Oryctolagus cuniculus: one gene and its partners. The protein of the gene in region 2 interacts with the protein of the main gene of each other region in a biochemical or structural test. Links are inferred from orthologs where the notes say so. Each region holds a gene or a part of one and is shown on either strand. Other genes may lie near its edges.

Region 1 (9,409 bases), on a different chromosome or scaffold from region 2:
CAATACAGGGATGAAAACATAAGATTATGTAATTATTTTTAAAAAGCTCAGAAAGCAGAGCAAAATATAGAGATGATGAACAGGAAAGAGAGGTTGGTGCTGTGGCACAGAAGGTTCAAGTCCCAGCTATTCCACTTCTGATCCCCCTCTGGTAACACACCCAGGAAAGCAGTCAAAGATGGCCCAAGTGCTTGGGCCCCTGCACCCACTTGAGAGACCCAGAGAAAGCTCCTGGTTCCTGGCTTTGCTGTGGCCATTTGGGGAGTGACTAAGCGGATGGAAGATCTTTCCCTTTCTTTCAAATAAATAATTATTTAATTAAAAAAAAATACAAAAGAGCACGTAAGAAAATCAGGACCCAAGGTCCTGAATTATAAAACTTCCAGATATAAAAAGAATGAAAGACCTTAAGAAATAATTCACAGAATTTCTCATTAACTGGAAAACATGAATTTCCATTAAAGATAAATGGATAAAAAATAATAATAAAAAAAAACCTGCCAAGTAACAGGCCATGAAGTCAGAACACTAGGCTCCAAAGGACCATCTAAAACGGCTTATACAAAAAGTGAGAATTATAAGCGGTAAGAAATTTCTACATAGCAACTAAAATTTCAAATAGCACAATTAATTCATAATTCTGAGTAAAAACAAAAAACTTCCAAACTCAGTCAAATGACTGCTCAGGTATTGTATCCTCTATTTCCTGGACACCATGTTTGGTGAAAGAAATCTCAAGGCTGATGATAGAGTTCTGAAGATGGCAAATATGTAACTTGTCCAGAGTAGAAATAAAACTCCAGAATAGATTTCTCCCAGAAACTAAAATTGATGAAACACCCAATGTATTTCCTTGTTTTAAGATGATATACACAACTGTGGGAGGATTCAGGGTTTAATTTGTGACAAATGCATGGGAAATTAAGACTATTAGTTACTAACTCTAAGAAAAACAAGATATGGAGGCAGAAATAAAAAGGAATCCCAGTAGACAGTATATTTCAGTTTTGATTACTTACTGTCTTATTAATAAAATTATGATATCATATTGAAAAGATGGGAAGACCAATGAATAAAGTTTTGTGTGCATGTGGTAAAGAAAGAGCAAGTTAGAACTTCATCTTTCCTACTAGGATGTTAGTGGAAAATGCCTAAAACAAAATACAAAGTAGCAATAAAAGCATAATGTTTATAGAGATATAGAAAGTCCAAAAGAATTCGATAGGGAAATTGATACAAGCTGTCTTAGGAGATAGGGGAGGGTTTAGAATAGCTGAATTTCTGATTTTCACTACAAAATTTGTAAAAATATTTAGTTCTTTAAACTATGTGAATGATGTAAACATTTTAATTCCATGCTGTCCAACAGAATTATAATACAAGCCACATATGTAATTAACACATTTTTCTAATAACCACATTAAAAGTCAAAGAGAAACAGGTAAAATTAATTCCAATGATAGTATTTTATTCAAATACATCCAAAATATTATTTTCACATGTCATCAATAAAAACAGTACTGATGAGACAGTAATCAAGATCGTATTTGTCCTGTTTAAAAAAAGTTTATCTCAATGCCAACCAGCTCCATTGCAAGTTCTCAATACCCACATGTGTCTAGTGGCTACCTATACTGGACACTGCAATTTCAGAGATGCTTTTCCTATGTTCTCATTGGAACTTATCATGGCAGGAACATTTAAAGGACCTAAGACTTTCAGCAGCAACCTAAAGTATGAAGGCATTGCAGAAACTGTTATCTAGCATTAGTGATAAAAAGCTATGCTTCCTAACCTGAAAAATAAGCTATTAATCACTCTTATCACACAGCAATTTCATGATAATCAACAGAATATATTCAGTTGAGAAAATACCTTATACAAATGATCATTTACAGACCCTCCTTATTTGCCTTATGTGAATTCTATCAAAGCTGACATTCCCCTTCCCTGGAATTTTGTCCTGTTGTGTCACTGGAACCCCTTCTCTATTCCATAGACCCCAATTCCCTCTTCTTCCCTCAGAAAAGGAATTCTATACTACATGGGACGGCCTTGTGGCACAGCAGGTTAGTCACTAGGGATGCCAGCATCCAGTATCAGAGTGCTGGCTGGAGTGTCAGCTACTCTGCTTCTGATCCAGCTTCCTGCTAATGCTCCTGGAGAAGGAATGGATGACAGTTCAAGTATTTGGGACTCTGCCACCTACATAGGGGACCTGAATGGAGTTCCAGACTCCTGCCTTTGAAGATATCAATCTTTCTCTCTCTGCCTTTCAAGTAGGTAAATAAATCTTTAAAAAAAAAAAAAAAAAGAATTCTAAGCTCGACCTTCAGAGCTCTTAAGAAATTAAGCAATACATTCAAGGCTTATCATATTTCTAAACATAGGTAAGCGCTGATTAAGTATCTTTGAAAGATTTAAAAAACTATTAAATGACTTTAAATATTTAATTTTCAAAGCTGAAAAAAATTTTGAAATGTCAACCTGAAGTATTAAAAAAGTATAATAGTTAAATCTAAATCAGAATCAAAACCAGATACCAATGATGACCTTAAGTTATGATTTTTAAATGTTCTAATAAAAACACATTTCAAACATAAATATGGGGTTTGAAAAGTTTATGGAAAATTAAATTACAACCTTATTTGATGCAAAATTTTTGAAAGCCATGTAGGTTTTTCATAACATACATTCTCCATGAACTTTTTGGAGCCACTCATATTTCTGTGTATATGCTTTTTAAAAAGCTCAACAAAAAAGGTAAAATTCCAAATCAAAATATTTAGCATATTAATTCAAATCTCATAAACACTGGAAGTGGTAAATAATCATGCTTAATGGTGAACATAAGCAGTCTCCTATAATACTGCATTTACCTCTCTAAAGCTAGCAACAAAAGTTGCTCTAATGTCCACCTATCTGGACCTTTACCAAAAAAGGGGCTTTTTATTTCTTAATTGACAAGTTATATTGACAGTAAACAGAGCGATCTTGATTTTAATATTAAATAAAGCTAACCTATCCATCAAGTCAAATATTTGATATTTTTCGAAATGAGAACAGATTTGAGGTTTACTCTCATCAGTACTGAAACATACAGTATTCAACTATTAGCTACATTCACCACGCTGTGCAATGTATCTCAGAAAGAAAAATCAAACCTACTCCTCCTACTGAGGTGGAGAGAATGAGGGATGGATAGTCAGGGGGCTTTTTCTAAAACCTGGATGCAACTTCCAAGTCCCACTGCATTTTGACCTGTTAGGGAAACTATGCGCCACAGGTGAGAAGTAAACCACAAACCAGGTAACGCAAGGGCTTCTGTTTCGAACAGGTCATCCCGGTACAAAGCCTCCAAATTAAGAGCATTATTGTAGAGGAGCAAGAATCAGGATTCAGAAAATCTGTTTATAATTGGGCCTTCTTGTATCGCCTCCTTCTGATTTGCAAATATATTGCAAGCCAGTATTTTGAGGCAACAAGGCTCTAGAACGCAAACTGACTGATTACAATACAACAAAGCACACCTCGGGGACCTACCAGAGACCACCAGAGAAATCTGTTGCAATCTGAGCGCGGAAACTGGGCCGAGCCTGCAGCAAACGCAATAATGCCGTGTCACGAAGCAATGCGCGTTCCCACAGAAACTTTCTGCGCACGCAGAACCAGGACCGACGGCCCCTGAGCTGTGCCCCCTAGTCGACAGGAACACACGTATTCCACGGCGAAAAGCAACTGCAGCAGGCTGGGGACTTTTTGCAAAGACCCTTAGGCGCTGGGGGGAGGGTGAACAATCACAAAAATTTCCAAAGCCAAAACAAACAGCGGGGAGTGGCGAGCAGGGATGCTCCTGGAGGGGCGGGGGCACTTTCCACGCAGAAAGCAAACTGGGGCGCAAGGGGTGGGGGGTGCCTCTCGTACGAGACGGGGAGTAACAGAAACAACTTCTCAAACTATCCTTTCTCGGAATTGCTCCCCTTCCCTAAAGGAGACCCGGGTGAGCGGCCCGGCCTCCTCCGCCCTTCTAGACCGGCCCTCCCCGTCCCACAGCGAGTCCACCGGGCCCAGGGCACCCACGCCCGCCCTCCCGCCCCGGAAGCCGCGCAGGGGCGAGCCACTCCCCGCCCCACCTGTGCCTTCCAGACCGCAGCGCCGCCCCGAGTGTCCCCCGCCCGGCCGCCGCTGCCCAGCACCCGCTCCCTCGGACGAGCCGCCGCGGCGCCGCGCTCCGCCCCGCCACAGTCCCGAGGTGCCCAGCGCCCTGCCCTCCCGCGCGCGCGCCCGCCGCGGGCTCACAAAGCGTTCCAGGCCGCGCGCCCCCGGCGGCGCCACGTCACGCGCGCGCGCCAGCCCCCGCAACCGCGCGGCAGGGCTGTCGCAGACTTGCTCTCACGGGACGGCGGTTCCCCGCGGACTTGTGACCAGCCCGCCCAGACGAGGTTCAGTCCACGCTGACCTTCCAACTGCCGCGTGGGAAGACGACAGTCAGCTTCAGTCCCAGGAGTCGCTGTGAAACTCCGCCAGGAGGGGAAAAGAGCGAGCGCGGGAGGCCTGCGAGCACCTCGCGGAGTCAGCGGCTCGGCCGGGACCCCAGCCGGGGTTTCCAGCGGCAGTGTAGCCCGCCCCGCGCCTGCGCACTCTCTCTGCCCCGCTCACCGCGGCCTCGGGAGAGACTAGGACGGGGTGGTAGGCTGCGAGGCCTGCGGCCGCTGGAAACAGAGCTGAACACTTTGCACCTGGGAGAACAATGGCTAATCCTCCCCTTGGAACCTTGTCCTTGTGACCGCGCTGAGTCTCCAAAAGGTTGCCCACAGCAGCAAGGTTCAAAGTTTGCTTGTTTGCGCTAAACATCCGTATCCGTACCGCAAGAAGTTAACTTTCGGACTCCAAAGGATAAAGGACCAGTCTTGCCCATACCATTTAGGAATATGGCATGCTAAACGGAAAAAAGTAAACATCCTGTCTACTTTTCCTCAAAAGTTCTTTAAAAGTGGTACAAAGCTGTGATGACAGATTCATACTTGTGAATAAGCCTTCCTTAGATAAATCTGTATGCGATGCCCTGGTATTTAAACATGCTTAAGTGACTTGTCTAGGGATGGCAGTGACTTGTTTCAGATGAATTTTTACCCTCATTAGACAATGTGATGTCCATAATAATGTACAAGATACATGAGCAAGCTTTTCTTTAGCAGGAGCAAATTGTATTCCTTTTCTTCAACTCATTTCCGTTTCACATTGTGAAATTTTATCTCAATGCAGTGTGTGGGTTTATTCTTGAAAATATTTTCTTTATTACCTATTCCTCTACCTAAAAAATAAGTAAACAAATTTAAATATAATTTTTAGAATTTCCAAAAGCTGTAAACTATTTTAAAAATGTGAAGTTTCTACATATACAAGATCATTATAAATAGAAAACTAAAGAAGTTAAAGCAAAGCTACCAGAACTAATGAGTTTGTTAAGGTTGCAAGATAGACAAAGCAACATATAAAAATCATACACACAGTGTATACTTCAAGAATTAAACTGAAAATTCCATTTGCAATATTATGAAGAATAAAAATTCGGGGGGCTGGTATAGCACAGTGGGTTAAGCTACAGCTTGGCACTCCTGCATTCCATAGTAGAGTACCTGGTTTGAATCCCAGCTAATTAGTACTTCCAATCTAGCTTCTGGCTAATGCCCTTGCGAGACAGCAGAGGGTGGCCCAAGTGCTTTGCTTCCTGCCACCCAAGTATGCGGCCTCTATTGAGTTCCACGCACCTGGTTTAGCCCAGCCTCTGTTGTGAGCATTTGGAGAGTGAACCGGAAGATGGAAGCACTCGCTCGGTCTCTCTGTCCCTCTCTTCATCACTGCCTTTCAGATAAAATAAATCTTTTTTTAAAAAATATTTATTTATTTATTTATTTGAAAGAGTTACACAGAGAGAAGGAGAGGCAGAGAGAGAGAGAGGTCTTCCATCCGCTGGTTCACTCTCCAATTGATGTCAATGGCCAGAGCTGCACTGATCCGGAGCCAGGAGCCAGGAGCTTCTTCCGGGTCTCCCACATAGGAGCAGGCCATCTTGTACTGCTTTCCCAGGTCATAGCAGAGAGCTGGATCAGAAATGGAGCAGCCGGGACTCCAACTGGTGCCCATATAGGATGCTGGCACTGCAGGCGGTGGCCTTACTTGCTTTGCCACGCGCTGGCCCAAAAATAAATCTTTAAAAGGAATAAAATACTTAGGGATAAATTTAATAAAATAATTGTATGACTTATACACTGAAAACTATGGAAAATTACTGAAAGAATTTAAAGGCCCCAAAAAATTGAAAGGCATTCCATGTTCATGAGTTTAAAGACTTCATATTAAGACACTATTCCTTTGGCTCTTGGCTTCGGATCGGTGTAGTGCTGGCTGTAGCGGCCATTTTGGGGGTGAACCAACAGAAGGAAGATCTTTCTCTCTCTCTCTCTCTCTCTCTCTCTCTCTCTCACTGTCTATAACTCTACCTATCAAATAAAAAAAAAAACAGTGTTTCCCAACTCTTATTAATAAAAAGCACTATTCCTAAAATGGATCAACAGATCCAATGAAATCCCTGTCAAAACCAAACGACTTTATGGAATTTGGCAAACTGATCCTAAAATTCAGGGAAACTCGAATGACCCAGAATAAAAACAGTTTTGAAAAAAAAGTTGGATAACTTAGACTTTCTAATTTCAAAACTTACTACAAAGATGCAATGATCAGTGTGGTGCTTGATCAATGTAATAAAATCAAGAGTCCAGAAATATGAAGATACTTCAAAAAGATCATGGAGAATGGAATTGAAAGATGTTTATTTTGGTGCAAAAATGTTTAAATTCATGCATAGTTTTCTCATAATATAAGGTTTCCATAAACTGTTTGCTTTTATTTAAGAGATACTTACACAGAGAGCTCCCATCCTCTGGTTCACTCCCCACATGTTCACAATGGCAGGAGCTGAACCAGACCCAAGGCAAAAGCATGGAACTCAATCCAGATCTCCCGTGTGGGTGGCAGGAAGCCAGTCACCTGAGCCATCACCTGGTGCATTAGCAAGGAGCTATATTCAGGAGGCAGAGTAGGGACTCAAACCCAAGCCCACTGACTTGGTATGCAGGCTAAACAGGACTTATTAGCAGTCCTTCCAAATTTGACAACAATTAGAAACACTTATATTGAATTATCAAGATGAACTATATTCCTAAATTATATTTTAAAAGCTAATCTGGATAAACAGAGAAGAAATTGAATTTTGTCTTTCTATGGAATATATGAGTATTGCAAAGTAATTTTTATATGAAGAAGCAAAGGTTTTTGTTAAAAAGGCAATTCCTTAAACAAGTTAAATCTATTAGAGTTTATTTGAACAAAGCAAAACAAAACACAATTCTTGAATTAGGCAGCTTGTAGAACCAGAGCAGAGTCTGAAAATTCCAACCAAAAATATGATCTGTGGCATAGCAGGTAAAGCCACCGCCTGCACTGCCAGCATCCCACATGGGCACCGGTTTGAGTCCGGATTGCTCCACTTCCGATCCAGCTCTCTGCTATGGCCTAGGAAAGCAGTACAAGATGGCCCGAGTCCTTGGGTCACCGCTTCTATGTGGGAGACCCAGAAGAAGCTCCTGGCTCCTGGCTCCTGGCTCCTGGCTTCGGATTGGCGCAGCTCAAGCCATTGAGGTCAACTGGGGAGTGAACCAGCGGATGGAAGACCCTTCTCTCTTTCTCTACCTCTCCTCCTCTCTCTGTATAACAATGACTCAAATAACTAAACCTTTTTAAAAAATGTGATCTGACAGTATTTATACCAAAACGGAGGTGAAGCATAGAAAGCAACTTAACTGGCTACAATTCAGTCAACTAGTCAATTGGTTGCAGTGTAATTAGTCAATTGTTTACAGCTTAGTTTGTTAATTGGCTACAGGGCCTTCTGCAACCAACCAAAACTCACTGCAATTAGAATCTATGTTACTTGGATCTGTTGGTCCAGTGCAGGTGCCCTTTCCAAATCCACAACCTCCCCTAAATTTTACAGCATACAGCCCAAAAAAGGAAAAAGTATTATGGGATGTGCAAGCACCTAAATAAAGTATTATGTTATTTTTCTGGATTTTGTGGTATCATCAGGTTTTTTTTGAAATTTTTAAGTTTCATGATTCACTTTTGTTCTTACTTTTGTATTCATTTTTTACAGAAGATCATCCAAATTTTAAGAGCAGTAAGCACCACACAACTTGGATCTGCTTAGGGTGAAGTGGCATTTAAGATTAGACGAAAGTTATCTCATACTTGAAAACATGTGAAAAGTCATTTTTAACACTCAGTTTGTCTTACTGAGGTCAAAGGCTCAAACTGTCAAATGAGGCTGGCAAGAAGCAGTGATTTTACCAAGTCACAAGAAAATAAGAGAGATGTCTGGAACTATTGGATGCCTGGGGCTTAAGACCCAGGACAAGCAGATCCAGATTTCAACAGGTCAGAGAACAACTCGTAGCTCTTTGTGGGTTTATATCCCCTTTACTGACAGTGGCGGTGAGAAATGCGCAAGGAACAGCTACTCCCTCTGATAGCAGTGGGACCATGGGAGAGAGTCGCCTTTGTGTCTGTGATGATAGATAGACACATTCATCCCATAGAGGCACATCTACATCCACACAAAGCCACACATCCACGTACAGCTACATTCGCTAGTAGTCATATCTACCAATAGCTGGGTTTACCAAAAGCTGCATCCACCAATAGTTGGAGCATCCACCCACAGTGGCTTATATGAGTTTACAGTCAATAGTGGCCTGGAGTCAAACCATTATATGGCAGAGTTGACAATGGTTAACAGAGAGAGACAGAGATATGGGAGCACAGAGATAAAGGGGCAAGGGCGAAGAGGCTTGATAACTTGATAACTTCACCTTCCCTAGTTTATCTCCTCAACACCACCAACCCAGCTCCCCGGAGATTCTCCTGTCTTCTTAGAACACTCTGGCTTCTAAACAGCACGTGAGGTCTCCCTGTAAGGTATTCCAGCTATGGTTTACACAAATGGAACTACTTTGGTCATGATCTCTCCATTTTATACAGAAGGTAATTATATGACTGACTATGACATTTTCCAGTGGCCCATTCCATATACATCCTTAAATCTCAGGTTTATTTCCCTTAAGCCTGCTAAAAGCATCTCATGGCCAAGGATTCTCCATGGTCTTTCCATCAGTGACAGCTTGGTCAGATGAACATGTTTACCAGAGATCTGAATTGGTCTTTTCCAGCTGAGCATTGAACAATAGGGATAATTATTTGCACATAACAGCGAATATTTAATTTTCAAATTCTGTGTCATGTATTTTTTTTCTTCTTTCCAGGCTCTTCCTTAAAATCAGTGCATTCTTGA
Region 2 (9,662 bases):
TCAAGCTGCTCTTCATAGTCTCCAAAGCAAAGCAGAAACGACGTTGATGGCAAACAAACACCAGTTTCTGAAAAGGAAGAATCCCTCCAGGCAATTCTTATGTACCCTTAAATTTGAGAATTTTTGATTTGTAATAGAAAGAGATGCATTTTTACAACAAAATGAGTATATATTTACAGCACAGTGTTGTGGTAAGGGTTAAGCTGCCATTTGCAATGCCAATATCCTAATATCAGAGTGACATTCTGATATTCTTGCTACTCTGCCTCTGGTCTAGCTCCCTGTTAATGCACCTGGGAAAGCAGTGGAAGATGGCCTAAGTGCTTGGGCCCCTGCACCTGTGTGAAAGACCTGGATGGAGTTCCTGGTTCTTGGCTTTGGCCTGACCCATCCCTTGGCCATTGCAGCCATCTAAGAACTGAACCAGCAGATGGATCATGGCGCTCTCTCTCGCTCTCTCTCTCTCTCTCTCTCTGATACTCTGCCTTTTAAAGAAATAAATCTTTTATTTAAAACAACCTTTTTTTTTTTTTTGACAGGCAGAGTGGACAGTGAGAGAGAGAGAGACAGAAAGGTCTTCCTTTGCCGTTGGTTCACCCCCCAATGGCCGCTGCGGCCGGCACACTGCACTGATCCAAAGCCAGGAGCCAGGTGCTTCCTCCTGGTCTCCCATGCAGGTGTAGGGCCAAAGCACTTGGGCCAATCTCCACTTCCCTCCCAGGCCACAGCAGAGAGCTGGACTGGAAGAGGGGCAACCAGGACAGAATCTGGCGCCCTGACCGGGACTAGAACTTGGTGTGCCGGCACCGCAAGGCAGAGGATTAGCCTATTGAGCCACAGCGCCGGCCATAAAACAAACATTTTAAAATAAATTTTTAAAAAAGATTTATTTATTCTAAAGGCTTAGTTTATCTATCTTTTTGTTTGTTTGTTTGTTTGTTTATTTATTAGAGAAAGGTCTTCCTTCCATTGGTTCACTCCCCAAATGGCTGCTACAGCTGGTGCTGTGCTGATCCAAAGCCTCTTCCTGGTCTCCCATGCATGTGCAGGGACCCAAGGACTTGGGCCATCCTCTGCTGCCCTCCTGGGCCACAGCAGAGAGCTGGACTGGAAGAGGAGCAACCGGGACTAGGACTTGGCACCCATATGGGATACCAGCACCGCAGGCGGAGGATTAACCGAATGAGCCACAGTGCCAGCCCCTATCTCTCTCTCTCTCTCCATCCATCCATCCATCCATCCATCCATCAATCCATCCATCCATCCATCCATCTATAGAGAGAGGTCTTTCATCCGCTGGTTCATTCCCCAGATGGCTGCAACGGCCAGAGCTGGGCCAGGCTGAAGCTAGGAGCCAGGAGCTCCATCCAGGTCTCTCTTGGTTAGCAGAAGCCCAAGCACTTGGGTCATCTTCTGCTGCTTTTCCCAGGCCATTTTCAGGGAGCTGGATTGGAAGTGAAGCAGTTGAGACATGAACCAGCACCCATATGGGATGCCAGCATCGTAGGTAGCAGCTTTACCCACTATGCCACAATAGCAGCCCCTTAAACTTTTATCATTGTACAGTACAGAGAAAAATACACAGATCCTAGGGTTACAGCTGGATGAATTTTCACACAATGGCTTGTGTGCCAGCACCTAGATCAAGGCACAGATCATTATCACTGCCCTGAGAAGTACCTTTGTGCCTCTTTCCAGATACACCTCCCCTGAAAAGATAACCACTATTCTGACTTCTAATGTTATAGATTTGTTTTGCCTAATATTATATAGTTTTAAAGTTATAGATGGGGGCCAGTGCCATGGCACAGTGGGTTAAGCTGCCCTCTGCAGTACAGGCATCCTTCATGGCCACCGGTTCAAGTCCCGGCTGCTGCACTTCCGATCCAGATCCCTACTTATGGCCTGGGAAAGCATGGAAGATTGCCCTAGTCCTTGGGCACCTGCACCCATGTGGGAGACCCTAAGGAAGCTCCTGGCTCTTGGCTTCAGAATGGTCCAGCCCTGGCTACTGCAGCCATTTGGGAAGTGAATCAGTGGATGGATGCTCTCTCTATGTCTGTCTCCTCTCTCTCTCTCTGTAACTCTTGACTTTCAAATAAATAAATAAATCTTTTCAAAAAATTCTAGATCAAGACTAAATCTGCATCCAGAGAGAGTATTTGGCTAGGTTCCTGGCTGAGTGCTCCTGACCAGTCATTTACTTTCCTTCAGACTCAATTTTCTTCTCTGTATAATGGTCATGATAATACTTCATACCTTAAAGGGTTGTTACATTTCCCAAACTTTTCTAGTGACAAGAATGCCTTGGAGCTCTGGTTAAAAAAACCAGATTCCCCTACAGCATAACCCTTAATAGGACAAACATAGTTGTGTTGTGAAGAAATACTTTTACTTTTTTTGTGTGTACAAAGCATAAACACACAGTATATAAATAGATACATATTATATTGTGCCATTAAACTTTCATGGATGGGGCTGGCGCTGTGGCATAGAGGGTAAAGCCACTGCCTGCAGTGCCGGCATCCCATAAGGGCGCCAGTTCGAGACCCAGTTGCTCCACTTTGGATTCTGCTCTCTGCTATGGCCTGGGAAAGCAGTAGAAGATGGTCTAAGTGCTTGGGCCCCTGCACCCACGTGGGAGACCCAAAAGAAGCTCCTGGCTTCTGGCTTCAGATCCGCCCAGTTCTGGCCATTGCGGCCATTTGGGGAGTGAACCAGCAGATGGGAGACTTCTTCCTCTGCCTCTCTGTAACTCTGTCTTTCAAATAAATGAATAAATCTTAAAAAAAAAAAAAAACTTTCATGGATGGGATAACTGGAGGAATATGTCTAAAAATGCTCTTTAGAGAGAGAACTTTTTAAAAAAATATTGGTAAACACTGCCCTAGAGCAGTGATTCTCCCAATGTGGAGATCTTGGTTAAAAATGCAAATTCTTGGGGCTGGTGCAGTGGCATAGTAGATTTTAAGCCTTCATCTGTGTTGCTGGCATCCCATATGGGCACTGGTTCAAGTCCTGGCTGCTCCAGTTCTGGTCCAGCTCTCTGCTATGGCCTGGAGAAGCAGTGGAAGATGGCCCAAGTGCTTGGGCCCCTGCACCCATGCGGGAGAGCCAGAAGAAGCTCCTGGTTCCTGGCTTTGGATCTGCCCAGCTCCAGCCGTGGCAGCCATGTGGGGAGTGAACCAGCAGATTGAACATCTTTCTCTTTGCCTCTCAAAAAGAAAAAAAAAAATAAGATTTTCCAAAAACTTTGTTATGAGAAAAAGCTGCCAAAAATTATATTAAAAATGCAAATTCTCAGGCCCTACCGCAGACCTATGGAATCAGAAGCAGACAGGGCCCCCAGGGATCTGTGGTTTAAACACAGAACCACCTGCAGGTGGTTGAGTCCTGACTGCAAGACTCCCTGCTCTAGAGAATCTGAGTGGGGTAGGTCCTTGGAATCTGTTTTTAACAAGCTGTCCAAAGGGGGTAATGCGGAACCACAGTGGTTTTGAAAGTACTTTGAAAAGTGTGACTTTCCAGATGGTAAAACAGTATTTTCATTAGGAGGAAACAGGCTAAATAATAATAGCAAAGGTCACTAATTACGGAGCGCTTCCTTGTGCCTGAGTCACTACTTGCACGGCCTATTACTTCTCACAAACAACTGTGCAGGACTTGGGCGGAGGGATGGGAAGGCAGACTGCCCAGGTTCTTATCCGGTATGTGACTGTGAGGCCAGGTGACAACGGTCCTTCTCTCATTGATGTGTTGTGAGCAGGAAGGGAGCTGGGTGCTCACTCCTAGAGAACACCAACCACGCGGGCGCCTCACCACGCCCATCATCCCCAAGCCTCCCTGTTAAAGGCTGGAGGAGGAGGATTTGAGTCCACTCAGTGTCTGTTTTTAGGGACTAAGCTGGGGGCCACCTCTGCAGCGCAGTGGGTTAAGCCACTACTTGGGATGCCCACAGACATGCCATATAACAGTGCCTGGGATCCAGTCCCACCTCCGGCTCGCTCCCAATCCAGCTTCCTGCCAAAGCATCCCGGGAGGCAGGGGAGGATGACCCAGGTGCTTGGGTCTCTGCCACCCACGTGGGAGACACAGAGGGATTTCCAGGCTGCTGGCTTCGGCCCGGCCATTTAGGTGTAAACCAGCAGATGGAATCTCTCTGTCTCTCCCTCTCGCTGTCACTCTGCCTTTCAAATAAAAACAAAAAAAGAAATGCAAATGATCAGACTCTGTCCTAAATCTACTGAAATTCTGGGGGCGGGAGCTCAGCAGTGTAAGTTTTAAAAAGCCCCTCAGGCGATTCTATGCACACTGCAGTTTGGCAACTCCAGCTACAGTCTTCAGAGGTTCTGGTGGGCGGGGTGCTAAGAACAAAAAAGGAAAAAGAAAGCGGAGCTGGGAGCCACTGGAGTCCTCACCTGGGCTGGGAAGAACTCCACTTAGCAGCTCTCACCAGCCCCCAGCTCTCCCGGCCCGGCAGCTGGCTGGCGCGCAAGGCCTGCTGGGGCTTGTAGTCCGGGCCGCTCCCGAGTGGAGGCGCCTGCGCATTGGCCGCTAACTCGCTTTAGTCGCTGTGGTCGGGGCTCGGGACCGGCTGCCATCTTAGTCGAGGGACTGAGGAGTCGCCGCCGCCCCGAGTCCCGGTAAACACCCGCGGGCTGACTGGGGGCGGTTCTGGGAGGAGGGGGAAGCCTGGGTGAGAATGACCTGAGAGAACGAGGGGTCGAGGAGTGCGGCGCCCGAGCCAGGACCGCCCCAGCGGCTGCGGCTGCTCCTGCCCTCCTAGCCGGTGTTCGTGGGGGGCGCGGGGAGCACGGGCCAGTGGCCGGGGCCGGGCGAGGGCTCGGATCGGCCAGACACACCGCAGGGCCGGCGCCTGCCGAGTTGCCCCGACCCCCTCGTCTCGTGGGCTCTCAAGTTGTGAGCGGGATGGGCCGCGGCGGACGTGGGCAGGGTCCATCCCCGCGCCCCTCCGCCGCTCCCGGGGGCCACTCTCCCGAGGCCCGGCCTACGCGCGGGGCCGGGCGGCCGCGGGCTACGTGGCCCTGTGAGGGGCGGCGGCCAGGCCCACCTGCCTCTGGTCTGGCCCTCCCGGGACTTTGCCGAGCCTTTGGTCTCCAGGAGGGCCCAGCCCGGCGGCTGCCTCCTCTGGTCTCCTCCACTCCCCTCCTCCCTCCATTGTCCCCCCGCGTGGTGGTCCCGGGCCGGGCGCCCTCCCCGGCGCCCGCCGCCACCGCCGCCGCGGCGCCGACTTGTGCAGACGTGGAGCTGTCACTGCCCTTGGTCCGAAGAGTGCCCTTTTCTTTAGCAGAGAAGAAAGTAGCTGTGAATGTGTTCTAAGGGCCGAAACGTGAGGAAGACGAGACTTTGAAGCGGTGAACTCAAGTTTGGAGACTCCGTTCGGGCCGCGACTTTGGAGAAACGGGATTTGTGCTCCCGAGGTCATCGTCGGGCCTAAAGTTAGTCAGAGAAGTAACGAGGTGAACTTGCGAAGTATCCGAAATTCTCCTTTCCCCCAGAACAACTCAGCGGGTTTTGTGGTTATATTAGTATCCTAGTCTTGTTACATTTTCTGCCGTTCTAACACCGCTGTAGTATACTTGCTTTGGATGGGGGGTGGGGAAGGAAGAGTGGGGTTTTTCTTTGAAAATTATTGAGCCTTTTTTTGGAGCCAGCCTCCTGTGGTCGGACTTAGGTGGATCGCCCTGCATCTGTTCCTAATATAATTCGACTTTAAGGAAATAGGTAAAGGCAGTGTTATTTCCACCGGCAGAATCGGCGAAGGACTTGCTGCTTCTCTGAAAGTTATCATGGCAGATCTGGTGAGAGCCTGCACGGTGTATTGACATGTTTACTCAAGGTGCAATGACTTCATTTTTCGGATTTAAAAATGAAAGTGGAAATTCTGCTTTTTAGAACAGTGGGTATAAGTCCAAAAGGACTTCATCTTCAGCGTGCGGGTCAAGGCAGCAGTGATAATGTGAGAATGAAAAAAAAAAAAAGAGTGCACAGAACTTCACTGTAGTCCAAAGTAAATAATTTCTACAGTCTTTTAAAAAACACATCTTTACACCTATTGCAAGAGAAAGGCAAACCAGCGGTCTCCAAATATGACCATTAGGGTAATGTTTTTTTTAAAAGTAGACATCCAGCTTCTTCCGTCTGAGATTGATTTAATAGATCTGGGTTGGCTTCCGTTTGTTTTCAGAACATGCCTCAGGTGATTCTAATGGGCCTGGGAACTACTGAGGTAAACAGTATTGTGGACATACCAAGGACAGCTCAAGAAACTTTTGAGACTGAGAGACGAGGAAGTGGTTAGTTCTGACTAGGGGTTGGCCAGAGGAGGAATCTAGACCTGCCCTTAGACCTGTGTTGGATCTTAGGTGATGAGCAGTTACATGACAAAGGTGAGGAAGAGGGGTAGAGAGAGGGAACATCTCAACCCTATGTGATGGCTGGAAGAAGGGTTCCGGGAGCGGGCAGAGAGTGGGATAGGGAAGGAGAGCTTTATGAGATGTGAAGAATGAAAGGTAAAAAGAAGCAGCTATGTGAAATGTTCTAAATATAATGCTGGAAATTTTGAATTTTGTTGTCGCTGGAAACATGCTGATTCTTACACAGGGATGAGAGGTGAGCGCCTGCGTTTTAGAAAGATTGCTCTGATACCAGAGAAAGGTTGGAAGAGTGGCTGTTGCAGAAGTCTAGGTGAGAAGTGACAAAGCCTGATGTTGCGGGAGAGACAGCTGGGATGGGTAAGGGATTGGATTCAGCTTTTTACTAGTGTGGTTTGTTCCTGTATTTTTGGATGAGGATTTTGGCAGGGAAGCAAGTCTGTGTAACAGGCTGCTTTTCTCTCAAAGGAACCCATTAGTGAGTCTGAATAGCATTGCCAGGTTATTTACGTTACTAGTATTAGAGTGAATTACTCACAAGCATATAAGAAATTAGAACCATGTCAGGTGCGATTTAGAAGATAACTTGACTGAAATTGACTGTCAACACAGGTGATTCAGGCTTGTTGGAGGTGTTTTTTGACAGTCTACCGAAATTTAATACTCAATTTTTAGAGTTGGAGATATTATGTACTCGATTTTGGCAAATAAATTTTGGTTTATAGGCCAACTTGAATTGAAGTAGCTGTCAGAGGAATTGTGTTTAGAAGGATTCTGGTTGCGTGGATTCTCTGGAAATGTGTTATGTTTAACTAGTGTTGCCTCCAGCTGATGGTTACCTAGTGGGTTACAAGGAGTCTTCATTAAGTTTATGGAAAAGCTATGAATCGATTCAAAATATGTTGCACCAAAATTATCTTTCAATTTTATTTTTCACAGACTGTGTAGTACCCTTCTTTATATGTGCCACGTATTTTTTTTTTAAAGATTTATTTTTTTATTTGAAAGGCAGAGTTAAAGCGAGAGAGATCCTCCATCTGCTGGTTCACTCCCCAAAAGTCTACAATCACCTGAGCTGGGCCAGCCAGGAGCCTCATTCAGGTCTCCTACATGAGTGCTGGGACCCAAGCACTCTGCTGTTGCCTTCCCGGGCACACCAGCAGGGAGCTGGATGGGAAATGTTGTAGGCGGCATGTGGGTACAGGGGCCCAGACACTTGAGCCATCTTCCGCTACCTTCCCAGGCACGTTAGCAGGGAACTGAATAGGAAGTAGAACAGCTGAGACTCAAATCAATGGCCATGTATGACGCTGACATCACAGGCAGCATCTTAACCTGCTGTACCACAGCAGCCATCACAAGGTATTCCCAGACTAGTCCAACCTATTAGTTTTCTGTTTGGTTTTAAAATTATTTAATTACAAATTTTTAAAGATGTATTTATTTGGGCCGGCACTGTGACTCACTTGGTCAATACTCCACCTGCGGTGCCAGCATCCCATATGGGCACCGGGTTCCAGTCCCGGTTGCTCCTCTTCCAGTCTGGCTCTCTCTTGTGGCCCAGAAAGGCAGTGGAGGATGGCCCAGGTGCTTGGGCCCCTGCACCCGCATAGGGGACCAGGAGGAAGCACCTGGCTCCTGGCTTCAGATCGGCGTAGCTCCGGCCATGGCAGCCATTTGGGGGGTAAACCAACAGAAGGAAGACCTTTCTCTCTGTCTCTCTCACTGTCTAACTATATCTGTCAAATAAATAAAAAAAGATTTATTTATTTGAAAGGCAGAGTTACAGAGAGAGCGCGCGCATAAGTACAAATGCGATCAATTTTCTATCTGTTGGTTCACTCCCCAAAGGGCTGCAACAGCCAGGGCTGGGCCAGACTAAAGCTAGGAGCTTCAAACTCCATTCTGGTCTCCCACATACTGCTTTTCCAGGTGCATTAGCAGGGAGCTGGATCAGAAGTGGAGCAGCCAGGACTTGAACTGGCACCCATATGGGATGCTGGTGTCACAGGTGGCAGCGCAGCCTGCTGTGCCACAGCTCTGGCCTCTGATTGTTTTTGAATTTTTATTTTTTTTAAAGGTCAAATAATTTATCTGAAACTAGTTAAGAGTCAGAGCTAGGACTAGAACCAGGTTTTGCAGTGCTCAGTCTGGTATTCTAAAGAGCTTTTGGTGTAAGACCAGGAAAAAAAAAATGAGGTATTTTCAGCTTATTCCTCTTGACTGTTTAGACAAGAGTTTAACAAGGAACTTTGGCCCAGAAACAAGTTTGTTCTGTTCATTCTGGCTGAAAAAACTTGTGTTAGTACTGGTGGGAAATAGTCACCTGTTTGATTCCCTCCATTCCCCCTCCTACCAACTCCCTACTTTTCTTTTTCCTCACCACTTCTGATTTTGGATATTGGAGATTGATTTTCTCTACATAAGTTGAATCAAAAGCATGCAAGTTTTTTTCCCCCTGTATTTATAGTTCTTAGCCAAATTCTGCGCTTATAATAAGCAGTCAGTAAAGGCATGTGGATTTTTCGTGGCTGTAAATGATACTGGCTTTGAGACAATATGAATTAGTAAAGGGTTTCACAGAATTGATTTGTAGCATTCTCTGATTGGGAGGTTAGCCCTCAGCTAAAACTGTTAGGTTGGAAACTATCCTCACCTCAAGGAGTAGTTAACCCTGCTATTCCTGCCCCTGTCTGCCTCTAGTCTAGTAGTGCACTTCCATGTAAAACTGCTGTCCCCTCAACTCTTTTTGCTTTTTTTCAGAACTGGCTGTGGTCAGATCCTTGGAGTGCTTTTTCTTTTCCTGTCCCTAGAGAATTCCCCATTACGGGAATCATCCTTACCGTGACCCTTATATGTTTATGTTGTGATTTTCATTTGGCCACATGTCCTTTGTACCTAAGTTGATGTCATCCTGTTCTGTGTATGAATCATTCCCCCCACCTCACGCTCTACCTACCTGCTCCATCAAACATTATCTCCTGAAGAATTTTTTAAAAGCCTTTGTGCTGTGTGAGTCCCAAGATCATTGCAAATATGGTGTGTTTAATCATAGAAATAATGTTAATGGACTCTCCCTACCCTTTTAGGTAACATGCCTTTCACAGTGGCCTTCTGGAGACAACGCCTTAACCAAAAGAAGTGATTTGAACTGTGAGAACTTCAGGTATGGCGACATTCCTACAAGAAAGATTTGGGGGCAGGAGTGATGCAGAGGACAAACCCTGGTCTCATATAACTACTGTGGGGAGATGTGGGGTGAGAGAG
Region 3 (9,664 bases), about 34 Mb from region 2:
TCACTTAGCTCACTCTATGCCACCCTGGCTGTCCCCACAAGTAACTAGTAGAGGACTTGCAACACTTGTAGGTGTTCCTGCTGCTCACGGGATCGGATGGAGTTCGATCTTCCTAGCTTGACTTCCAGGACCCCTTAGGATCTCGTGCCAGCCACATTTTCCAAGCTTAGCTCCTAACTGCTTCTCACTCCCTGTCCTGCCCTGGTAAAGCCAAAGCTGGACTCTGAGTTGTGCGTCTCCATGTCTTTACCCGTTGGCTCACAATAGTCTTTTCCCACTTCTCTGTCTGGGGCATTTCCAGCTCACTCCTCCAGGAAGCCTCCGCTGATTTCCACCAGGGGGGATGTATTTCCTCTTCTGCTCTACACCACTTCATAGAGACCTGTATCCAGGTGATTTCCCACTGTGAGTGAGGATACGGACTGTCTCATTCATCTTTATCTTCCTGGAATGCAAGACGGAGCAAGGCTCCACTGACACCTGTCGAATGCGTACGCTGGGTCTGCAGACCTGAACTGGTGCTCCCCACACCCCTAGCCCAGGAAGCCATGATGCTCCGTGCAAGATCTGTGAGAGTGGGAGGCGAGCTGATGACCTCAACGCACGCTCCAAGTGGGTTCAGAATCTACGGGTGACCTGGGCGTGAGTCTGGGCCGCAGTCTTGGCATTCGGACACAGCGCACATATTCAGGTCCCTCTGAGGGAACAAGAGGTGGTGACAGTCACTTTTTTTTTTTTTAAGATGTATTTATTTATTTGAAAGTCAGAGTTACACAGAGAGAGGAGAGGCAGAGAGAGAGAGAGGTCTTCCATCCGATGGTTCACTCCCCAATTGGCCGCAACAGCCGGAGCTGTGCCAATCTGAAGCCAGGAGCTTCTTCCCAGTCTCCCATGTGGGTGCAGGGCCCCAAGGACCTGGTCCATCTTTCACTGCTCTCCCAGGCCACAGCAGAGAGCTGGATCAGAAGTAGAGCAGCCCGGTCTCGAACTGGCGCCCATATGGGATGCCAGAGCTTCAGGCCAGGGTGTTAACCCACTGCGACACAGCGTCGGCCCCGGTGACAGTCACTCTTGCGGCTGATTGTTCAGTGACACCAGGTTACAGAGAGTCCACGAGCACTTGCTGGAATTCAGCGCAGTGAACCGTGGGTTTCACGTGGATGTGGATTATTCCCAGCCCACGCCAGCTGCACAGGAGGCCCCTCATGCTTGCGGCACTGCCTCCTTACTTGTTGTGCTGTGCTGTCGGGGTGGGGGGTGTCTTAGGGAAGAACTGGGATGGTGGGTGCTGGGGGCACACAGAGCACCTACAGCACCTGTTCTTTATCAATGAGGAGCATTCTTCCTCAACGCTGAACACCATCCTATCAGAGACTGCTCGCTGGGCGTCAGCACTGCCTTGGGGTGGCACCTGTCCACTTCCCCAGTCTTAATGTTTCCAATGATCTCAAAACCCCAGGAGAAGAAAGAAACAGAGAAAAAGTGCCAGCTGCAGACAAAAGGATCGCAGCCGGACAGGCAAAGAACTTTCAGAGCTGAAAGTCACCGAAAGCTAAGAGGAAGGATAACTCCTTTCTCCCGGTCTCCCGTGGGAGATCTGTTTGCCCTGGGGCTTGGAGGCCACAGGGTGACTGGGCAAGCTCAAGGGGTCTGTGTTGGCCTCACAGAGAGCTGCCATGGGGGCTGGGAGTTGGACCTGACATCCTACACACACGTGTCCTGGTGTGTCCAGGGTCCCAAGGTGCCTAGGCTGGAAGAAAGGAGGACAGAGGACACCCGGGGGTCCCTTTTCAGAGAGGTGAATAATCTCCCTGCCGGGCAGCCCCCCACCCACCTCTGCTCTCTCTCACACAGAGGAAAAGCCAGGCCAAGAAAGAGGCTTTTGTGCTAGGATATCTGAGGCTGAGGGGGAGGGGAGGCTGCAGGTGACAGGGTACATCAAAGCAGCCTGCCCCTCCTCTCCAAATCCCCCTGCCCATTCCCGGAGCCAGGCTTTCCTTAACTGAAGGCTTTGACCTAAACGCCCACCCACCCAACCAGCTGCAGCGAGACGGCTATCCTCCCTTCGACAGTCCTCCACCTCGCCGTGACCCCGTCTCCAGGACCCCGAGAGCTGGCTTTGGGGGCAGAGGACAGACACAACCTGCATAGAGTTTACAGGTCACTTTGGAGAGGTCCTGCAGGTTGGAACGCATCATGCGCGCAGAAGAAACGCAGCCCTGGCCGGGCTCCTGGGCAGCCAAAGAGGCCGGGAGAGGCTTGGAGCCCTGTGTGCCCCCGCTGGCTGGGAGCAAGGTGGGGGCGGGCTGTGGGCAGAAACCACACTGGGCTCAAGTTTCCTCTCTTGGCCAGAAGGGGCAGAAGGAGAGGAGGGCCACGGGGAAAGGGGAGGGTTGGAGGAAGGACTGAGAACTCGGGAGGCCAGGGCTCCAGACCGAGAGCGAGCCCGTGCGCCTGCCTCCGGGTTCACTGCTCTCAGCACAGCCTGAGCCTCCAGGCTCAGAGCTCGGCCATGGCCGGGGGGCGGGACAAAGCCCTTGCGGGAGCTTAGAGGTACAGAGATCCTGGCCCAGGAGGTGTCAGCTCAGACCCAGCCTGCCCAGAGACGCCAGTTGGAACCTCAACTCTCTCCTTACCCAGCTTGCTCGCTCGTGCACGCTTGGACTCTGCCACAGGTGCCGGAAGGCAGGGTGGGCGCGGGTGTGTGTGTGTGTGGGGGGGGGGGTTCCTGTGAGATCCTGGGGCAGGCTGGGGAGGGGGAGGCCAAGGAGTGAGGGAGACAGCAGCAACTTTCCATAGGTTCCCAGGAGACCTCAGACCTCCCCACACTGCCCTAGGTTAGGAATTGGCACCTGGGAGAACTCCCCTGGGAGAAGACCTGCATAGCTTCCTGAGTGCCCTGGGATCCTTGGGGTGGGAGGCAGTGGATGGGGACCGGTGGTCGCCTGAGGGCTGCCCTGAGCGGGCAACAGACTTCCAGGTACATGATACCGTCCTCCCCCTGGCCCATTGCATTCTTCTCGGTCCAGCCAGCTGTGGAGGTTTGGGGGAAGCTAAACAATTGAGGACTTCTGAGAAGTGGCATGACTGGGTAGGGGGTGCTGGGTTCCAGCTTCCCCTTGCCCCTTCTCTGCACAGGAGAGATCAGCTAGACCTGGAAGGGACAGGAAGGCGGGCGAACCCCACCAGAGCTCCTGGTGGCCTGAGAGCCAGGGGGCAGAGGAGCATCCTCTGCTGGGACTCTCCACGCAATGTCCCAACAGACTGGAGCTTGGGGTCAAGGGGTGGAGTGCGGGATGCCAGGAGCTGGTCCCCTCTCCCTGTTCTCCCTCTCTCTCTCACACACACACACCGCTCAGTCCTCTTTGTCCCCAGAGGACGGAGACCCCCATGATCAAAGCTCTCTTCCCTTTCCCTGAGGTCTGCCTCTCCTTCTTTGAGGGTTCTCCCTAGTCTTTCTAAGGGGGCTGCTCCCCCACCGTGCCACATCCCAAGTTTTGTGGCTCCCTTCCCATCCCTACTGCCTCTAGGGATGCCTGGACAGGTGGGGTGGTCTGAGCAAGCCCCCTCCCTCGTCATTCCTGCTCGTCAAGGAAGTTAGGGGCCCTGGGACAGTGGTGGAGGCCCAGAGTCATCCTCTCCCCGCGCCACCCTCCTCGCTCTGTACCCCCAAACATAAGACTCTGCACAATTCTGCGAGTATTTAGGGCTTGTGAGAACAATCTCTCTGGAGAGGACCATCAGGATGAGAGTGAGGAGGATGGATTTTAGCCCCTAAAGATGGCTCCAGTCCTACCTGGTCCACAGTATTGGGAACTAAGAGGAGGAGCAGCCAACCAACTCAGTGGGAGTGGGAATAAGGGGACTGACCCCCCAAATGCAGGCGAAACTGTAAGGTGGGAGATGCTCATTGCTAAGGAAGGGGGGCACAGGGAAGCCCACCCGTCTTTCCCAGGGTGGCCCCTGTGGGGTTCCAGCTGAGCCAGTTCTGACTATGCTGCCTCCCTGACCTGTCCCTCTGAGGGATAGCCTCCTGGGGCCCAGTGGTGGTCTCTATCTGATATACAGATCCTCTCCAGCCGGCCCTTGAGCGTCTGGGAGAAGCCTCCCACTCCCCCTGGAGCCTGCTGCAAACTGCTGGTTGGAGCTGATTCTGGGGTTGTCCTTAAACTCCCTCTGCCCCAGCCTCCCAGCTGCCCTCGCTTCCCTTCTGAGCCCCAGGTCTTCCCGAGAGGGAGCGGATTCCTCGGCTCAGAGACAGGACAGGGCTGCCTGGCTCAAGGTTCAAAGCTAGAAGTCTAAGGATCACCTACTGGGCTCCTCTGGCGCCTGGGAATTCGGTTCCGAGGTCTGGGGAGCCTCTCGAGTCTGTGTGTTCGCATGGCCCCGGGTTGATGCAGTGCACGATACATGTGTGACTTCTGAGACAGACACAGCACCACGGCCTCTCACGGCAGTGGGGTTCTCTAGTTCGCTATTTAAGGGAGGAGACAGAATTTGGCCTTTGGAAGCGATTTGCTTGAGGAATGGAGAATCCGGTTCCCTGCCTCCCGGGGCAGGCTCTGTATACAGCACCTGGGTGTCAGATCCGGGAAGACAGAAGGGGGATGGGGTGCTTAAGGAACTATGAGGCAAGAGTGGATGTCCCTGCCCCCAAAACCCCTTCTCCATTCACTTTGCCTTTGGGCAATTTCCGCCAGAACCTGGGTGGGGGAGGGTGGGGTTCCGGTGTTGAAATGGCCTCCTGGACAGACATAAACACCCCACCCACCGTGCCTGCTGGCTGAAGGAGGACCTGTACCTCCACCAACTCCCAGTTGCAAGCAGAGAGAGGCACAGGCTAGGAGAGATCCTCTTTCGAAAGGGTCATCTGTAGTCGTTCCCCCCCCCCCGACCCCCGGCCCCGGCTTTGTGGTCCAGCCAAAGAATGGGCTCCGTGTGAAACAGCTGTGGCGGGCCAGCCTTGCGGCGGGTGGTCAGGGGTCCGGCTATCTAAGGTCATCCAGGGCTACCCTCTGCACTCTGCGGGCTTCCTTCATCCCCAGCCTGCTTCCCATCCTTGCATGGTGCTGCGTGCACGTGCGCTGAGATCAGGAGGCCCTGGACAAAACTCTGCGGCCTCTTGTTCTGCTTGTTGAAGACAAGGACAGATGTGGGCAGTGATGGGTGTCAGGAGCTGGGGAGCTGGGATGAGAAGAGGGACTGACGCACAGACAGATCTGCGCAGGAGTGAAGCGCACGCCGCCCCTGCAGGAAGGACCTCCGAGATCAGGTTGTCTAACTCTGCTTTCACAAAGAGGAAACAGGCCCAGAAGCGACATGGCCTGCCCAACCTCCCGCTGCCGCTGCTGGAGCCCAAAACAGAAGCAGCGGCGCTGGAGGGGAGTGCACACTGAGGGGTCTAAAGGGAAACTGCCCAGGAGAGGGAAGAGGCTGCAAGTCCGCGGGGAGAAGTGACCACGTCAGTGCCAGCAGAGGCTTGGGATACGCAGACCCAGGACAGGGCTGGCAGGTGCCGGCGAGGCCAGGAGGGTCGTGTTCCAGGCCTCATGCTGCTGTGGGTCTTGGCTTCTGAACCCACTCTACAGGACCTTTGTGAAAGTCACTCTCCTGACCGATGCTCACAGAGGCCCTGCACAACCCCCTGAAAAGCACTTAGTAATTCATTGTTAGGGTGCTTACGCTAACCTCGCAAGAGGAAAGACCCCTGGCTTTAAGGGTTGAGGTATGGCCAAGATGACCCTGTGGGGACACAAGGCCAAGGTCCAGTGTCTGCAGAGTCCACTCCTCCTCTGCCCCTGCTGCCTGCAGCTGATAAGCCTCTTATCTGGCCCAGGCAGGGGAGGGCAGGGCTGCTATCAGCACCCAGGCCTGGGCCACATGCTGGAGAAAGCTGTCTGTGTGGCTCTTCCCATAACACACTCCTTGGGGGATCCCCCAAGCGTGCACTCTCATCCTGGGAAGAAAAGGCTGAGATCTTGAAGCTGAAGACGGACGAGGAAAGCAGGGGTGGCCCCTGATGTTGCCCCAGACTTCCAACCCAAACCAAAAAGACTGCCCTGGCCAGGAGTACATTTCTAGGGCGGAAGAGGTAAGGGAGAGAGAGAGAAGGCATCCTGTCCGAAGACCAGGTAAAGTCCTACTGTGCTCCCACATGAGCTGAGCGGCCTGAGTAGGTGAGCGGGCGGTCTCACACCCCACTTGCTTTGAGCTCTAAGGGGCTGAGGAGCTCAGGATGGGCGAGGGCTCTCTTGCTTCAAGGCCACTGGGGGAAGGAGAGACTCGCTGAGCCCAGCAGGAGCGGTTCTCACACCTTTCTCCTTTGGCGCAGGTTGCTGGGGTCGTTCGGGCTTTGGGGGAACCTGGACCAGACAGACCCTGGCCCAGTAGGATGCCCCCGTGTTCCCCCCAGCAGAGCAGGAACAAGTTGACACAGCTGCCCACTCCAGAGCTGGGCGAGATGGAACTGACTTGGCAAGAGATCATGTCCATCACCGAACTGCAGGTGAGCGGGGTGGGGGGGCGGGGCGGGGAGCCTGGCCTGCACTGGATGGAGGCAGCAGGTGGGAGCAAGCGGGGCCCAGGCTGGAAGTGTTCCAGGCTGGGAAAGAGAGGGCTGGACTATGTGGGAGATGTGGATGGGAGACTCTGGGGAGTCTGGGGGAACCTGGGGAGTGTGCATTAGCGGGGACAGGAGTGCTGGGGAGCGGAGGGGAGGGTCTGAGGGGCGAGGGCAAAGCTCACTCAGCAGCCATGCTGCTCACGGCTCCACGCTGCCTCTGGCTCTGTCCTCCCTCCCTCTTCTCCAGTCCTGCCATCTCCTCCTCCCTGCTCTTAGCAACCGAGACCTCCCCCCAGGTAGCAGGGCAGCAGTTCAGGGGCCTCGGAAGGGAAGGGGAGTCCAGCCATGCTGGGGTCCTCTCCCCCTGCTCCCTGGACAAAGGGGTGTCTGTTGGCCTAACAATGAGGCCTTTGTCCCCAGCTGGGTTGGAGCAGGGTGGCTCCCCTATGTGGGTTGGGGGCCCTGTCTGCAGCACGTTCTCTCCTCCTCGCTGCACCTGGGCAGGGACAGAGGGACACAGGAGGAGAGGGCCGAGCTCCTGCCAGTTCCCCAAAGTGCTTCTCGGCCCCTGGCCCCAGCTCTGCGCCCGCCCTCTTTCCCTCCCCTGCCTCGGGGCCTGACGGACGCCCTTAGGATCTGCCCTGGGCCCTCCTTCCAGGTAGCAGCTCCCCCTGCTGGGCACCCAGGGCATGGCTGGGGCCTGGACTTGACCCTTTGACCCCAGATAACTGCAGCAGGAAAGGGTCATCTTGGCTACCAACGCCTTGCCTTCTCCCTGAAGGAAAGAAAGGCTCCTGGGCCATTCGAACCCCGGGAGCTGTTCCAGCATTAGGTAGACTGTTCTGAATCTGACCTCGCTGTCCTTCTTGCTCTCCCCGCATTGCTAACACAGCTCTGCAGGAAGCCTCGTCGGTTTTCGGCATTTCTCTCTGTTCTCTTGCTACTGGCCTTTTCCGAGGGGCCCAGCTTTGTCCTGAGTTTTCACTTCCTCAGCCTCCCTCCCAACCTCTTTATGTCTTTCCTTGCAGGGCCTAAACGCTCCAAGTGAGCCATCGTTTGAGCCCCAAGCCCCAGCCCCTTTCTCTGGACCCCTGCCCCCACCAGCTTACTGCCCCTGCTCCGTCCCCCCGGATGCTGGCTTCCCCCTGCCCCCACCACCTTATGAGCTCCCAGCACCCACATCCCACGTCCCAGACGCCCCCTACCCCTACAACAACATGGCCGGTCCAGTCTCCAAGCCACTGACCCTCTCAGGCCTGCTCAACGAGCCTCTCCCAGACCCCTTAGCCCTCCTGGACATTGGGTTGCCTGCAGGGCCGCCCAAGCCCCAAGAAGACCCAGAATCCGACTCGGGATTATCCCTCAACTACAGCGACGCCGAGTCTCTCGAGCTGGAGGGGACAGAGGCCGGCCGGCGGCGCGGCGAGTACTTGGAGATGTACCCAGTGGAGTACCCCTACTCACTCGTGCCCAGCGCCTTGGTCCACCCCAGCTACACCTTGCCACCCGCCGAGGCCCCCTTGGCCCTAGAGCCCTCGTCAGGCCCTGTGCGGGCCAAGCCGAGCGCACGCGGGGAGGCCGGGAGTCGGGATGAGCGCCGGGCCCTGGCCATGAAGATCCCGTTCCCTACGGACAAGATCGTCAACCTACCGGTAGACGACTTTAACGAGCTGCTGGCGCGCTACCCGCTGACGGACAGCCAGCTGGCCTTGGTCCGGGACATCCGCCGGCGGGGCAAGAACAAGGTGGCCGCCCAGAACTGTCGCAAGAGAAAGCTGGAGACCATCGTGCAGCTGGAGAGGGAGCTGGAGCAGCTGGGCAGCGAGAGAGAGCGGCTTCTCAGGGCCCGAGGGGAGGCTGACCGGACCCTGGAAGTCATGCGCCAACAGCTCACCGAGCTGTACCGGGACATCTTCCAGCACCTACGGGATGAGTCAGGCAACAGCTACTCCCCAGAAGAGTACGTGCTGCAGCAGGCTGCCGATGGTGCCATCTTCCTGGTGCCCCGAGCGACCAAGGCGGAGGCCACAGACTGAACTGGCTCAGGGTGGAGAGTGGGCTTGGTGATGGGGAGTTCCCTCCCTTCTGATAAAGGGACTCCCCGACCCCAGACCCAGATAAAGCAGACTTATTTAGACCAATGTGGGAACCCTGCTGTTCACTGAGGCTTGCCTTGGGGCAGCTCGTGTGGGGGTTGGGCCAGAACCTTTTTTCCCTGACCTCTCACCTCCAGCCCTGTCCCAGCTTTGGTCTATAAAGCGTTCTGCACAAACAGCCTTCTACTGCGTCTACCTTTGCGATGATGGTGAAGCTGGGCGCTCAGAGCACTACTTGTTGGGGTCCAGGGCTGGGCGGATGCTGCCAGGTTCATTCTCTTTTCCCTCCAGAGCTCGCCTGAGAAGTCAAGAAAACGTGGGCTTCAAGAGGGTGGAGATCCAGCCGTCTAAACTCCTTTAGTCAGGGGCGTGGATCGTCTGAGGAGCTCCCCGCCCCATTTCCTGGGAGCCCCACAAACTGGTGATGCCCTGAGATCTCTTTGGAACACACACACACACACACACACAGCCTTTCATTCTGTCCTGCCCCCACTTCACCTCTCAGCCTGGGTGCTGAAGTGCCAGGGCTCTCAGGAGGCTGGGCGAGCGGTTCTCCACTCGGGAATCTGACCAGACACCACAGCTTTAGAGGTTTCACACCACGGGGCTCCACAGTGGAATCAAACACGTACGTCCTGTAGAACTTCCTCTTCCTGGTTCTATCACAGCCCAGCACCAGTCGCTGCCTTGGGGCCCTCCACTTCTACATCCTCAGATGTGCGTTGTTAGGTGCTCTCCCTGCACCCTTGAAACAGATACAGGGACCTGGAGTTTGGCTCCTTAGGCGCATCACCTAAAATCCAACCAGCCCTCCCTCTACACATCTCCTTGAACTCAAGGGGATCCCGATTTCCCACTTCGGCACATCCACGGCTCCACACCTGAAACACCTTACTGTTACCCTTCAACCCGGTTTTCCTATCATCCCACAGGGAATCCTCATCCCAGGTCTGATGCAAGTATAGATGGGCAGCTCCAAGAGCCCACAGCAGGGACAGGGCACAGG

What was found. The genes of interacting proteins can lie anywhere in the genome.
Region 1: the proteins of ITCH (region 2) and SPART form a complex in vitro, tested with the Homo sapiens proteins (2 studies listed by BioGRID). The link is inferred for Oryctolagus cuniculus from reciprocal best matches to the Homo sapiens genes ITCH and SPART.
Region 3: of the proteins of ITCH (region 2) and NFE2, one has a biochemical effect on the other in vitro, tested with the Homo sapiens proteins (2 studies listed by BioGRID, with this or other methods). The link is inferred for Oryctolagus cuniculus from reciprocal best matches to the Homo sapiens genes ITCH and NFE2.

What each region holds. Positions count from the first base shown.
Region 1 is NC_091440.1:77,753,191-77,762,599, reverse strand, and holds the start of SPART (spartin), read right to left. Parts: upstream 4,644-9,409; 5' UTR 4,460-4,643; intron 4,290-4,459; exon of another isoform or gene 3,544-4,289; intron 1-3,543. UniProt on the Homo sapiens protein: Lipophagy receptor that plays an important role in lipid droplet (LD) turnover in motor neurons.
Region 2 is NC_091442.1:23,706,930-23,716,591, reverse strand, and holds the start of ITCH (E3 ubiquitin-protein ligase Itchy homolog), read left to right. Parts: upstream 1-4,511; 5' UTR 4,512-4,643; exon of another isoform or gene 4,644-5,224; intron 5,225-5,291; exon of another isoform or gene 5,292-5,480; intron 5,481-9,484; 5' UTR 9,485-9,561; intron 9,562-9,662. UniProt on the Homo sapiens protein: Acts as an Acts as an E3 ubiquitin-protein ligase which accepts ubiquitin from an E2 ubiquitin-conjugating enzyme in the form of a thioester and then directly transfers the ubiquitin to targeted substrates.
Region 3 is NC_091442.1:57,224,943-57,234,606, reverse strand, and holds NFE2 (transcription factor NF-E2 45 kDa subunit), read left to right. Parts: upstream 1-5,021; 5' UTR 5,022-6,019; coding exon 6,020-6,091; exon of another isoform or gene 6,092-6,131; intron 6,132-6,331; coding exon 6,332-6,505; intron 6,506-7,590; coding exon 7,591-8,598; 3' UTR 8,599-8,836; downstream 8,837-9,664. UniProt on the Homo sapiens protein: Component of the NF-E2 complex essential for regulating erythroid and megakaryocytic maturation and differentiation. Binds to the hypersensitive site 2 (HS2) of the beta-globin control region (LCR).